Linked DNA regions of Danio rerio. The main gene of each other region encodes a partner of the protein of the gene in region 3 in a complex. Links are inferred from orthologs where the notes say so. Each region holds a gene or a part of one and is shown on either strand. Other genes may lie near its edges.

Region 1 (4,315 bases), on a different chromosome or scaffold from region 3:
AGAGACGACAGAGGAAACAGCCGCTGCTCACCTGATTATTACAAAGTATTTCAGTGTAAATAGTGTAATAACGCTGGTTTAGGTTAACGTATATTCAGCAAACTCACCATTTCGTCCTCTTTTTTTAGCCCCTCGATCAACAACATGGTGAAAAAGAGTCATCGCTGCAGGATGCAAGTCGCGTTCAGAAGTGGTAAGTTTCCCGCGAACAATGAAAAAGCGCTGAAGACGAATTCCCCGCGAGATGGACGAACAGTGTTCTAATTGGTCGACACGTCAGGAAACAGGAAGTGTTAAGCCACTGCGAGCGGAGTGGAATGGCTGCGAACACTAGAGGCGCCATGTGGCCCCAAAAAAATCCGGGTTAACATTAACATTAACAATATATATATATATATATATATATATATATATATATATATATATATATATATATATATATATATATATATATATATATATATATATATATATATATATATATTCATTATTTCATTTATTTCCTTTTTGGCTTAGTACCTTTATTGTTTTGGAGTTGCCACTGCGGAATATGGTTTTACGCAGCGGATGCCCTTCCAGCTGCAACCCATAAGTGGTAAACATCCATACACACTCATTCACACACACACACAAACACACACACACACACACACACACACACACACACACACACACACACACACACACACACACACACACACACAAAATTTAGCCTACCCAGTTCACCTACAGCATATATTTTTTTAACCCACGCAAACACTGGAAGAACATGTAAACGCCACAGAAACACAAAAACTTAATCTTATTAAGAATAAAAAACCCTAAAATTCCTGAAATATTATACAGATGTAGGAGATGCTTAAGTTTAGTTGCTTTCCTTTTGGTTATTTGTTTAAGTGTCATTGTAATTTCATTCATTTGTTTAATTTAGTTTGTTTAATTTAGTAATTTTGTTATTATCATAATTTTATTATTATTAATATTATAATTATTAATATTTTCCCTTTCAGTCTAATGATATGTTATTTGTATGTGTTTGTGATAATTTTTATGACTGTGTATACTATTGATCATTTTAAAGTGATCTCTGGGATCCTTTGGATTTTGTTCTGATAGCAAGCAATAATATATATATATATATATATATATATATATATATATATATATATATATATATATATATATATATATATATATATATATATATATATATATATATATATATATATATATATATATATATATATATATATATATATATATATATATATATATATATAATTTTGCAAATGATTAAATAAAAATTATGATAGCATGAAGAGCCTAAAAGCTGAGCAGAGGTTTAGACTAATCAGGGTAAATGCCGACTCATAAGCCCCGCCTTCTTTGGTCACCTCTTTGGGTCGCTTTCGCTTCTAGCGTTCCTTGTAGCGCAACGGAAACCCGACGACGAAACTGGCGTTGTGCGTCACGTGACCTGCTTTACAACCGGGTCACACTTCAAACTTAATGCACAAAATCTCCATCTGATAAAACAAATAAAGTGTTAAATCCGAGAGCAGTCTATCGGGTTACATTTTTTGCAGTCTAATAATAAACAATGTCGCTTTCAGCAGCGCGTTCGTTTCTTTCGGAGGCGGCATACGGCGAGCAGGAGCTGGACGCCAATTCAGCGCTGATGGAGCTCGATAAAGGTGGCTCTTTATAAACAACACACGTGTATTTGTTTTTTGATGCAGTGTGTGTGTGTGCTATTTTAATGTTGAATATCATACATTGTATCTGTTCGCATGAAAAAGCTCTTCTATAATTTTATTATGTAGGCTACTACTGTACTTTAGTCTATACTGTGCTTTGTTTTCATTTTTACAGAATGTTTTAGGGATGTAACATATGTTATGGAAAGATCCAGAATTTACGCAACCGTCAAGTAGTTTGACTTTTATGAGTTTCTTCTTCTTTGCACACGCCACACGGGTGATAAAATGCTTTAATTTTAAACTACTAAGGTCTAAAAAGTGCTTAGATTATGGATGAAGTGCTTGGAAAGTAATTGCATTGCTTTCATAATCATTGATCTTACTGAACGTACAACATTGTTTACAGTCAAAAAATTGTGCTTATGTTGTTTTGAAGTCACACTTACATGTGATTTTATACTGAATATTCAAAGTACCATGGTAAACGCTATAGGGAGCGTGTCACAAGTTGTCAATGAACAAATGTACGAATATAAAACCAACTTTACCTGTCTTATTAAACGGGTAATAACAGTGAAAATTACTGTTTAAATAAAAGTATAATAACTCTCATTGCTTGTGCATAAAATGAAAATCTGGGGTCTGTACATAAGCCTGTAGCATGATCTGCCTTCTATCTTATTTTGTCTGCACTCCTTGAGTATAAGATGAAATTAGATACATCTAAGATTTAAGTAAATGACATTCATATAAAAAAAAATCTTATGAATAGAATCTGATAAAATGTAATAAAGCATGTGTGTGTATGTAAATGTGTAATATGCCACACATTTACATACACATGCATTCAAAAAATGTGCATCTGAAAAGTGCTTAAATTATATAAAAAAGCATGCTGCAAACACAAAAGAAGATACTTTGAACAATGTTCAAAATCAGTAACCTTTGACTTCCACAGTAGGACAACAAATGTAGGTCAATAGTTACAGGTTTACAGCTTTTTTCAAAATATTCAATTCAATTCAATTCAGCTTTATTTGTATAGCGCTTTTACAATGTACATTGTGTCAAAGCAGCTTCACATAAATGGTCATAGTAACTGGAACAGTGTGGTTCAGGTTTTAAAATATCTTCTTTAGTGTTCGACAGAGTAATAAAACTGAAATGGGTTTAGAAAACAAACAAAGGATGTGACACTAAAAAAGCAATACAGTTGAAGTCAGCATTAATAGCCCCCATTTGAATTGTTATTTTTTTTTTTCCAGAATAGTGTTTAACAGAGCAAGAAAACTTTCACAGTATGTCTGATAATATATTTTTTTCTTTTTGAGAAAGTCTTATTTGTTTTATTTCAGTAAGAATAAAAGCAGTTTTTATATTTTTAAGAAACATTTTAAGGTAAAAATTACTAGGCCCTTTAAGCTATATATTTTTCCGATAGTCTACAAAACAAACCATCGTTATAGAGTAACTTGACAAATGTATGCTGTTTGTTCATTTATTTAAAATTAACAGAAACAACACAATTGTTAAGTTTTATTTTGGGAACACTTAGTTGTTTTAGATTCAATCAACTAAAATTTGTAAAATCTAATAATATAACTTAATCCATTCATGCTATTGTGGAACCCAACATTTTTACAGAGTATGAATAAAAAACATACATATTTGAGCGTGAATCATTCCTTTTACTCACACACTTCTGATTTTGTCTTTGCTCCAGGTTTACGGTCTTGTAAACTGGGCGAGCAGTGTGAAGCCGTGGTCCTTTTTCCCAAACTCTTCCAGAAATACCCGTTCCCCATCCTCATCAACTCTGCCTTCCTGAAGCTGGCAGATATCTTCAGACTTGGGTAATTGCACATATAAATACATACGAATTATGTCATGTTTAATAGTTTAGATATGGTAACAAAATTGTCAATAGCTGCTTTTCCACTATCGTGCTGAATCGTTCTTTAAGCAGAACCGTTCCATTCCGTGCCAAACCAGGCCAGACAGGACGGATACGGTTTCATTTTCCACTGTCCTGCTGCGACAAAGCTCTTTAAAAACATTACACAAACCGCATCAGTAGTTGCCTTGGTTAACGCAATGTAAACAGCTCCCTTTGTTCAATTAAATTTAAATAATAGCCGAAACTAGTTTTTTTCATGTTCATAAAAGTGAAAGCAACCATGTGACTAGCACTGTTATGCCGCTCTATTAAATAGGGTTGCTAAATATAGGTAGGCTACATACGTCAGCACCCTTATTTATTTAGAGGTATGTTGTGCGGATCTGGCTAAATTTTATTTAGGGGGAAAATTACCAAAATATATCGTGATTAGGGATGTAACGATTTATCGTTGTACGATTTATTGCAATGCAAAAATGTCTCTATGCATCGTGGTGTTATGACGATTTGATTACGATATGACGTCCGTTTTCTCTTATTAGTTGAGCTGTTTGCACGTGAGCTACGTTCCACCTGCTGTCGCACGTGAGTTCAGATTGCAGCAGCAGTAATGTTAGCAGACCAAGATGAGTGGAGCTGATATAGAGGATGGCCCATCCTCTCAAAATCAGACGTCTGGCAACATTTCGGTTGTACAGTCATTGCTTTAGACTCGTCC
Region 2 (4,193 bases), on a different chromosome or scaffold from region 3:
AGAAGTTAGTTATTTCAGATAACGCGCGTCGAGCGCAAGGAAAAAAAGTGAAACCACTCAGGCTTCAGACTGGCTCGTAAAAAAACTACGCGGCACAGGGTAAATCTGCTCTTCTCCATGGCTTTGTGGCTGTTTAACAAGACGGCGACAGGGTTTGTTTGAGCCCGGATCGACTATGGCTGCATATGTAGATATAATTTTGTGTAATCTCTCGCTGTGTATTTTAAACATGGCAGGTCCTTTGTTTACATTCTGGCTTGTTGAGTCTACAAATGACGTATCTCTATTAACCAATAGCATTCAGCTGCGCATGTAGCTCCACCTTTTGGGACCCTTTCTGCAGTTTGTGACCCTTTCGAAAGGGTGCCGAAAAAGTGGTACGGTACGGTTTGGTTCGGTATGCCTTTTGACAGTGGAAATGGCCATAAAAGCGTACCAAAACGAACCGTACCGTACCACTCAGTGGAAACGGGCCATAACAGTGCCTGGGGTTTAAATGGTCTTTCGCCTGTTTTTACGCTTTTATAAAAATAAGTTTTAAAAAAATGTAAATTTGTGTAGACTTGGTGTTTTAGACATGAATAGACTTGAACTTGTTTCGGTTTGCCATTGCACAGGGCTAAAGCGACACCAAAATACTTTTTTGTTCAAACCTTAATATTGTTCATGTTTATAAGTGTGTTCTCCAGAAGTACATAATAAGCTTAGAAATTTGAGATGTGTGTAATTTATTTGATTTAACTCAACTATTAGATTTAGTTAAATAAATCTACAGTAGAATATAGATACTACTAGTAATATGACTAGTAATACTAAATTTGATTTTAATCAAAAGACTAGGAATAAAAATGTAATCAAAATATGCTGTTAAAGTGAACAATGTGAAGAAAACAACAAAATGAAAAGAATGGATCTAGATAAGTCTGAACACATTATAACCTAAGATAATACCAGGTGAAAATGACCTTCTGCTGACCACTTGTGATCAGATCATTGAAAAGAAGTTAATATTGCTATGCTGCTGTGAATACACTTACCTTTACTTCTGTTCTCTTAAAGGCCTGGAATGAACCTGTCGTTTCAGGTTTTGGCTTTAGTTCAGCTTTCTTGACTAGCGGATCTTTCAACAAAGGTACTGTTGTTGCCAAAGCAGGAGCTGGCTTTTGTGGTGGTTTCTGAGTCTTTTGGGCCTGAGATATTAAAAACACATAACAGTTAATATTTCATTATTATTTCAGTGATACGCATAAAATTCATTGTCATACACTTCCCACCATTCGTTTCATTTGCCTGGTGCACCGAGCACAGTACCACACCAGTCGCGGGTCATTCACATCCTTGTCAGTAACCTGAGGTTTGTGACACTCTTGATGATAAAGATTATGACATTCTTGACACTCCACAAGCTGATTCCCAGAAGTGACGGTCATTTGTCTGAGAGAGGAGAAATATAGATACATTTCGAATTAAAATGGCCGAAAATAAATTAAAGATTCAGAGAACATCAACGACATCAGTGTAATGACACAAAAAAAAAAATCCAAAAAAGTTTATCTAACACTCACAAATAACATCAAAAAATAAATTATCATTTACTCATGCTTTACTTGCTCTAAACCTTTAGTTGAAGTATCTTTCTTCTGATAAACATAAAGAAAGATACTGATGAATATTGAACAAACAAATGAATACAGATTTTTATGAGTAAATTAATGCCTGTTAGTAAACAACAATAGTTGTGTGTTTTTGTAACTTTTAACACACTCACATTCCCACTACATATAGCTACTTATTCGAAGAAAACTCCATCAGAAGTGGCATCACTCACCGACAAACCACACAAGCAAGACCCATTTCCATGGCAAAGTCATCAGCGTTGGTTTCATCAATATCTGTGAAATCTGGAATGGGAATGTCCTTGGTTTGAAAAGCAATCGGAGAGGAATGACTGTCCTGCTTCTCTAAACGAGGTTTCTTAGGCGGCTCCACTCCTTCTCCAGGATCAACCCTAATCTTTAAATCATACAAATATTCAAAAGTGAATTATGCTGAGAATTTCCAGTCATGTCACATTTACAATCATAAATGAATATTAGTGCAAACTGACTTTTTCCAAAGTTCTTTTCTCGCTCTCTTTCTTGGACTTCTCTGAGGTGCTTGATTTACTGCTGCTGGTGGTGGTGATGGATGATGACGCTGAGGAACTTGAGGAGGATTTGGAGTCTTGTTTTGTCATTTTTGGCAATGACACTTTGCTCACTTCAGCTTCCTATTCAATGGATAACGAGTTAAATATTTTTTTTAAAATCTACTAATAAAAAACAAAAAAATAATACCTTCTTGATTTGATCACCTTAATTGAATTCCTATAGATGGAGTCACTGCCTCTGGCTAAAGACTCATCTAGCAGGGCCTTGAGTTTCTCTGCCGAGTCTTTGCTCTTGGAGTGAAGATACCCCAGTCCCTTCAGAAAGATAGGGTCTAACTCTAGACTTACTGTCCCAGCCATTGTTTAGCGATTATTATCTAATTTAACATAAGAAAATGACCCGGCCCTCTACTTATGGAGTTTACGATGTTATATTCTCGGATAACACTAGAAAAGCTTCATTTCAGACTCTACAATATCTAGTCTTTCTGAGCTAACAAAAGCAACATGAACTTACTGACACCGGATTGTGCTCAAGCTTTTGTTTAAGGAACGTTTTTATAAACCGTAAAAAAAAAACAAGATATTATCCTTAGCAGAAATTAACTAACTTAGCAATGCTTGAAATGATCCGACTATAGTATCGAATTAAAATAGAGCAAGTAGAAAGAAAGCGCTTGAAAAGTATGGGGACCTCAATAGGGCGTGGCTTAGTGGCCATGAGGTTGTCTCTAATTGGTCGGATGAATCTGTTTTCTGTTTTTGTGCTAATTTACATTTTAATTTATCTCTCTTTGGCATGTTTTAAAAATTGTTTGTAAAAACAATATTTATTTTAAAAAGTGTCCTATTTAAACTATTGCTCACATAAAAGATGAAGCAACACGCCAACGGTTTTGTCACGTGATAGTTGTTGTTTTTCTTACTGCTTGTCAGTTCTTATTGTTAGATTAAAAATAACCTGTTGGTGAGAATTATGTACCAAATTATTAGAAATTAATGGACTTGCCTTAGACACATGTTTTCTATTTACTAACATTTGTAAATTTCTTAAATTTCTCTGCAGGATTTTGATGGCTTGATAGCGCTTTGCATTCTGAGCCACCAAGTGCCCCCTACTGGATAACTGGTGATCATAATGATGTTTGCCGACTGTTCTTTTATTTCTTTCTAATGACGCTTTTGTGTTTCTACTAAATCATACCGACATAAGCGCTTCGTTTCCGCCGTCATTTTCACCAACAGCACCTCGACATGAAATTTCAGCCTGCAAATTATTTTAAAAATATCACTATGTATTAATATATTAAAATCATCAGGAATGCGAGCTTATCAACCAGCTTAAAAATCATATCAGCCGGACACTAATAAATGTAACACAAGGAAATGCTACGTAGTGCGTAAAATTGAAATATCCTTGACCAAATAGGTAAATAACGTCTCGTAACAAACTCTCAAAACCTTATTGTTCTATAACCATCCAAGACCATTTATTGTGCGAATTTAACGGCATATCTTGCCCGTTATGGCGTTGTTGACAGGGGTCAAAAGAATGCGTTGTAGGAGCGTCATAATTGTGTTGTCGAGTGTAAGAAGCTGATTGGCTGTTCTGGTGTGACGGGGGTTCTTGTCCCAGATCGCAGGGGTTAGACAATAAGAATCCAAACAGCAGCATTTACAATAATAACACCGCATAGATGCTATTTCTATCTCTCTGTGGTTTCAAGTAGCTGGCGCTGTCACTAAAACAGCTGTTCTAAATATATCAGACGAATCGAATAATTTTTCAGAATTATTCAGTCACTTAGACCAATCAAATACATCCCAGAAAAAAGGTAAGTGCCACACATCTATAGGTCTTCTAAGCATTTTGTTGATTTCGACATGCTTCACTTCTATTTAGTCTAACTGGATTCATTCTGATCAGTCATAAATAAATTTGTGTGAATGCGGGTAATAAAGGTTGATTGTGACGCTATTGACAGATTTCAGATTGTAAAGTTAAAATGCTCAGTTTCTTTGTTATCTAATTGCATTGAATACA
Region 3 (3,653 bases):
CCACTCAAGAGTGAGTACATTTTCACGTTTGACTAAACAATCCCAAATAAGTAAAAAGGACACTTTATGTCCAAGTAGTTCCACTGTTCTTTACCTGCTGTCCATTGCGAATGAACAAACTAAACCATGTGCGCACTTTTCCATTGGTGCCTAAAAGCAGACCACTGACGTATGACACCAGAGGACTGACCGCCTCATCTGCCATGTCTGGCTTATAATCCAGTGTCAAAGCAACGCCGAGGCCTGGGAGATGACACTCTTCCACCTGTAGAAGGACAGAGGGCTTGACTTCAGTACATCACGTTGCTCTGATCACTTTAGCTGCAGTCTAATACCAGGCATGACAGGTGGTCTTCGAGCCGGACACTCACCACCATGGCCCTGATGTTCAGAGCCTGAGACGGGTTCATCTGACACAGCTGCCGGAGAGCTTCTGTCCTGCGGCGACCACCAACACTCTCCTCGTCCTGCCGCTCTCCGTTCTTTATCAGCCCTCTGCACACTGGACACACAAGAGGAAAGAGTTTGGAATAAATGTACTGCTTTTAAATGACATAAAAATATAGTTTCATTACATTCATTTCAGTTCAAAGACTATTTTAAAATAAAATTCATGCTGGCCAAAGATTAATCCACTTTATCGCATCCAAAATAAAAGTTTGCTTTAACATACTTTGTGTGTTTTACGTAGATATTTAAATGTATATATAAATTTTATCATATAAACATATTTCATATCAATGTAAATAAACTTCATACGCATGCCTGTATGTATTTATATAAATTTATATTAATTGCAATTCACTAATTAAAATACAATGAATTAAACAACTTAAAACTGACAGCAAATAGATAAAAATTAATAAAATATTTCACGTAAAATAAATGTTTGGTAAGACTTTTAGTACAAATTCTCACTATCATTAAGCCAGTGGTTAATGACCTGCTTATGAATACGACATTGGCTTTTTATAAGATTTTTTAAAGTACTCTGTAAAACCCAGTAAGTAAAGGTAACTCAAACAATTTGAGGAAACCAATTGCTACAAACATTTGTTTAAAAACTAATCCTAATAAGTAGTGTGAACTTAATCCGTTTAAATCAAACAATTTAAGCACAGTAAAACCCAATAAATGAAGAGAACTCAAACCAACTGAGTACTGTAAAACCCAATAAGTTAAGGCAACTCAAACCGAATGCTACAAACCATTTGAGTTAAAAACTAATCTATACGAGTACTGTGAACTTACTCTATTTAAGTTAAAGTAATGAGGTATTAATTAACTCATTACCTTCAACACTGAGCTCAAAACTCTTTTCAAATGAGTAGAATAAACCTTTGGTAAGTTTTGAGTTAACTACACTCATTTCATTTGATCAAGTTGATTGTTGGGTTTTACAGTGTATATATTCTGCATGATCTTTTTCTACATCCCTAATCCTAACCTTTCCGCTTTGTGGAAAGCCCTTATATGGAGCTGGTATTGACGTGTATAATAAAAAAATACTAACGTTGTTCACTGAGAACAATTAAAAATCACTAACAGAAGAACAAATACAAGTTAACTACTAGTTAATAACAATTAATAAGCAGCAGATTAGGAGTTTATCGAGCTAAAAGTCACAGTTAATGTTTTGTTATTAGCAAGAACTGTACCTTAAAGTGTAACCAAATTATCTTTCAAACTTTCTATCACTTTTAAAGTTTAATATTTCATAAAACATTTTATTTTATTTTCCGTTTGCTGATCCTGATACTGACTACTGATTTCTTCATCATGATCAGTCGATACCAATTATGATCTTTTAGGCTTTTTATAAGTGACATGTGAGCTCTTTGTTGACTGTTTTAAAAGGCCTTTAAATTCAGGACTTACACAAATTACACAAAATCCATATTAACTAACAATATAACCATATAACTAGCCTAGTGTAAGTTATGCAAAAACTCTCATTTTGATAATAGCTGTGTTGGGGCATTTTTTAACCCCTCAACATTGAATTTGTGTGGCGCTGTTGTTAATTTTTTTCCCACTGAGACACATTGGGTCTCATTCACTAACCATGCATACACACAAATCTATGAGTGACACTAGGGTTGCACGATATTGGAAAAATCTAACTTTGAAATATTTAGTTTGAAATATTTTGGCTATATTGGGAAAATAATTTTATCCACAGCTAAACATACTACGTTATGGCTCAGATAGGAATAAATAATCCCCACAAACATCTTTAAATAAACGTTTCTTTATTTGGCTCTGAATTAAGCTCTGGCCTTGAATTAAAATAGCTGTTTTTCTTTTATTCTGTGATTTTAACCACAGATGACAGCTTGCCACGCAGAATGATTAGAATTACAGAGAGCCTTTTATAACCCAGTGCAGGAATGATATTAGTTTCAATAGTCTCTTATGAAGAAGAAAAAAACAGCTGATTGAGAGAAAACGCAGCCGAGTCCGTCACAATTCATCCTGCATCTGATTACAGTGTATCTCTATAGACAAGCTCTTTCCCTTAATGATTCAGCCTTGAGCAGAATATTCTCCCAATGAAAGATCCTGTCTAGGTAATGAGCCTTGAGAATTGGCCATTCAATAATATGAAACGTTTCAAACTGGCTCTGAATGGAGCCTCGCACAAATAAGCTATTGACTCAACAAGGACCTGGGAGTGATGAAAAGATAGCAGAGACTTTAAAATGTTTTTATTTCCACTTAGTGCGTCTTTGAGGAAAACCCACATATACACATAAAGAGACACAAACGCCCCCAAGCCCAAACTGCCCATAATCAGCAGCCGAACTCATCAAAATGGAAATTCGCCACCTCTGGATGATCGTACAACCGCCACATAAAGCAGATCAAATGTAAAGTAAACCCAAGTTTCGCGTGGCTTTATAGTCAATGGAGAAAAACGCAACACACTGATTTTGGTACGTTAAAATTAAATTAAATGTATATATAACCCTGATCCAAGACTCACACACATCTAAATGACTTTATTAAGACAATCTGCAATTTAATAAATGTAAACTGAAAATGACAGATAACTATAAGATGCCGTCTTTAAAAAGTCATTAAGTAATTCTTTGGGTTTAAAACAGACCTGGGCATTTACGGCCTGCACGGACTTCTTTGATTGGCCCGCATGAAGTATTTATTTATTTTAAATTCAACCGCAAACAGGGCCTTACAATGTGCAGGAATGATATTACGAGTCAACAAAAGGGGACTTTTAAATAGGTTATAGCGTCTTTTTAACGAGCAGGTTCATTGCGAAAATAGGAAGAGACACACATGGGGTATGCCAGGCTCATGTTTTCCAGGCGCCACGAGTTAAAAACCCCCAAAGCATTTCAGAGTGCCACGAGTGAACCACGAGTCATGTGATAGGAACTAACCAGGCAGCTTCACACATTGTATAGAAATTAATCCTGGTTTATACTTCTGTGTCAAGTAAGCGGCGTGACCCACTGCGCATGCAATGCGCATAGCCGTGCATTTATACTTCTGCCCGCTGTTTTTGTTGCTCTGCAATAACACTTCAGAAACGCTAGTTAGCAGTAGGTTTTTATGTTTCTTCGCTGGTGTTTTGTTTTTTCTGAATGCTAGCTTAAGGCTGGCTCAAACTCGCTCATTTTGAGGCGGCA

The links.
Region 1: the proteins of ints2 (region 3) and ints7 are in contact, whole or in part, in a cryo-EM structure (PDB 8RC4), measured with the Homo sapiens proteins. The link is inferred for Danio rerio from reciprocal best matches to the Homo sapiens genes INTS2 and INTS7. Residues at the interface, in NP_065799.2 of Homo sapiens: Gln27, Lys28, Val29, Cys48, Arg51, Met52, Cys55, Ala56, Ala58, Asp59, Gln60, Ser61, Trp64, Phe92, His93, Ala186, Glu187, Pro189, Ile194, Val218, Asp220, Ser221, Asn223, Glu224, Ser259, Leu262, Lys263, Arg265, His285, Gly294; in NP_056249.1 of Homo sapiens: Leu38, Gly39, Glu40, Cys42, Glu43, Val46, Arg47, Asn77, Phe78, Leu81, Cys82, Leu84, Lys85, Gln88, Gln89, Asn114, Asp115, Pro116, Val117, Ala120, Ile121, Arg124, Val153, Glu156, Val159, Phe160, Ala163, Leu195, Lys196, Pro199.
Region 2: ints2 (region 3) and ints12 share a complex: the UniProt entries of both Homo sapiens proteins name them as parts of the integrator complex. The link is inferred for Danio rerio from reciprocal best matches to the Homo sapiens genes INTS2 and INTS12.

The regions. Positions count from the first base shown.
Region 1 is NC_133195.1:14,373,815-14,378,129, reverse strand, and holds the start of ints7 (integrator complex subunit 7), read left to right. Parts: upstream 1-1,502; 5' UTR 1,503-1,600; coding exon 1,601-1,694; intron 1,695-3,423; coding exon 3,424-3,553; intron 3,554-4,315. Other genes in the region: dtl (denticleless protein homolog), read right to left, coding at 1-31, 108-162. UniProt on the Homo sapiens protein: Component of the integrator complex, a multiprotein complex that terminates RNA polymerase II (Pol II) transcription in the promoter-proximal region of genes.
Region 2 is NC_133176.1:28,088,562-28,092,754, forward strand, and holds the start of ints12 (integrator complex subunit 12), read right to left. Parts: upstream 2,814-4,193; 5' UTR 2,510-2,813; coding exon 2,354-2,509; intron 2,270-2,353; coding exon 2,108-2,269; intron 2,014-2,107; coding exon 1,829-2,013; intron 1,435-1,828; coding exon 1,275-1,434; intron 1,191-1,274; coding exon 1,038-1,190; intron 1-1,037. UniProt on the Homo sapiens protein: Component of the integrator complex, a multiprotein complex that terminates RNA polymerase II (Pol II) transcription in the promoter-proximal region of genes.
Region 3 is NC_133185.1:32,939,567-32,943,219, forward strand, and holds part of ints2 (integrator complex subunit 2), read right to left. Parts: intron 503-3,653; coding exon 372-502; intron 266-371; coding exon 95-265; intron 1-94. UniProt on the Homo sapiens protein: Component of the integrator complex, a multiprotein complex that terminates RNA polymerase II (Pol II) transcription in the promoter-proximal region of genes.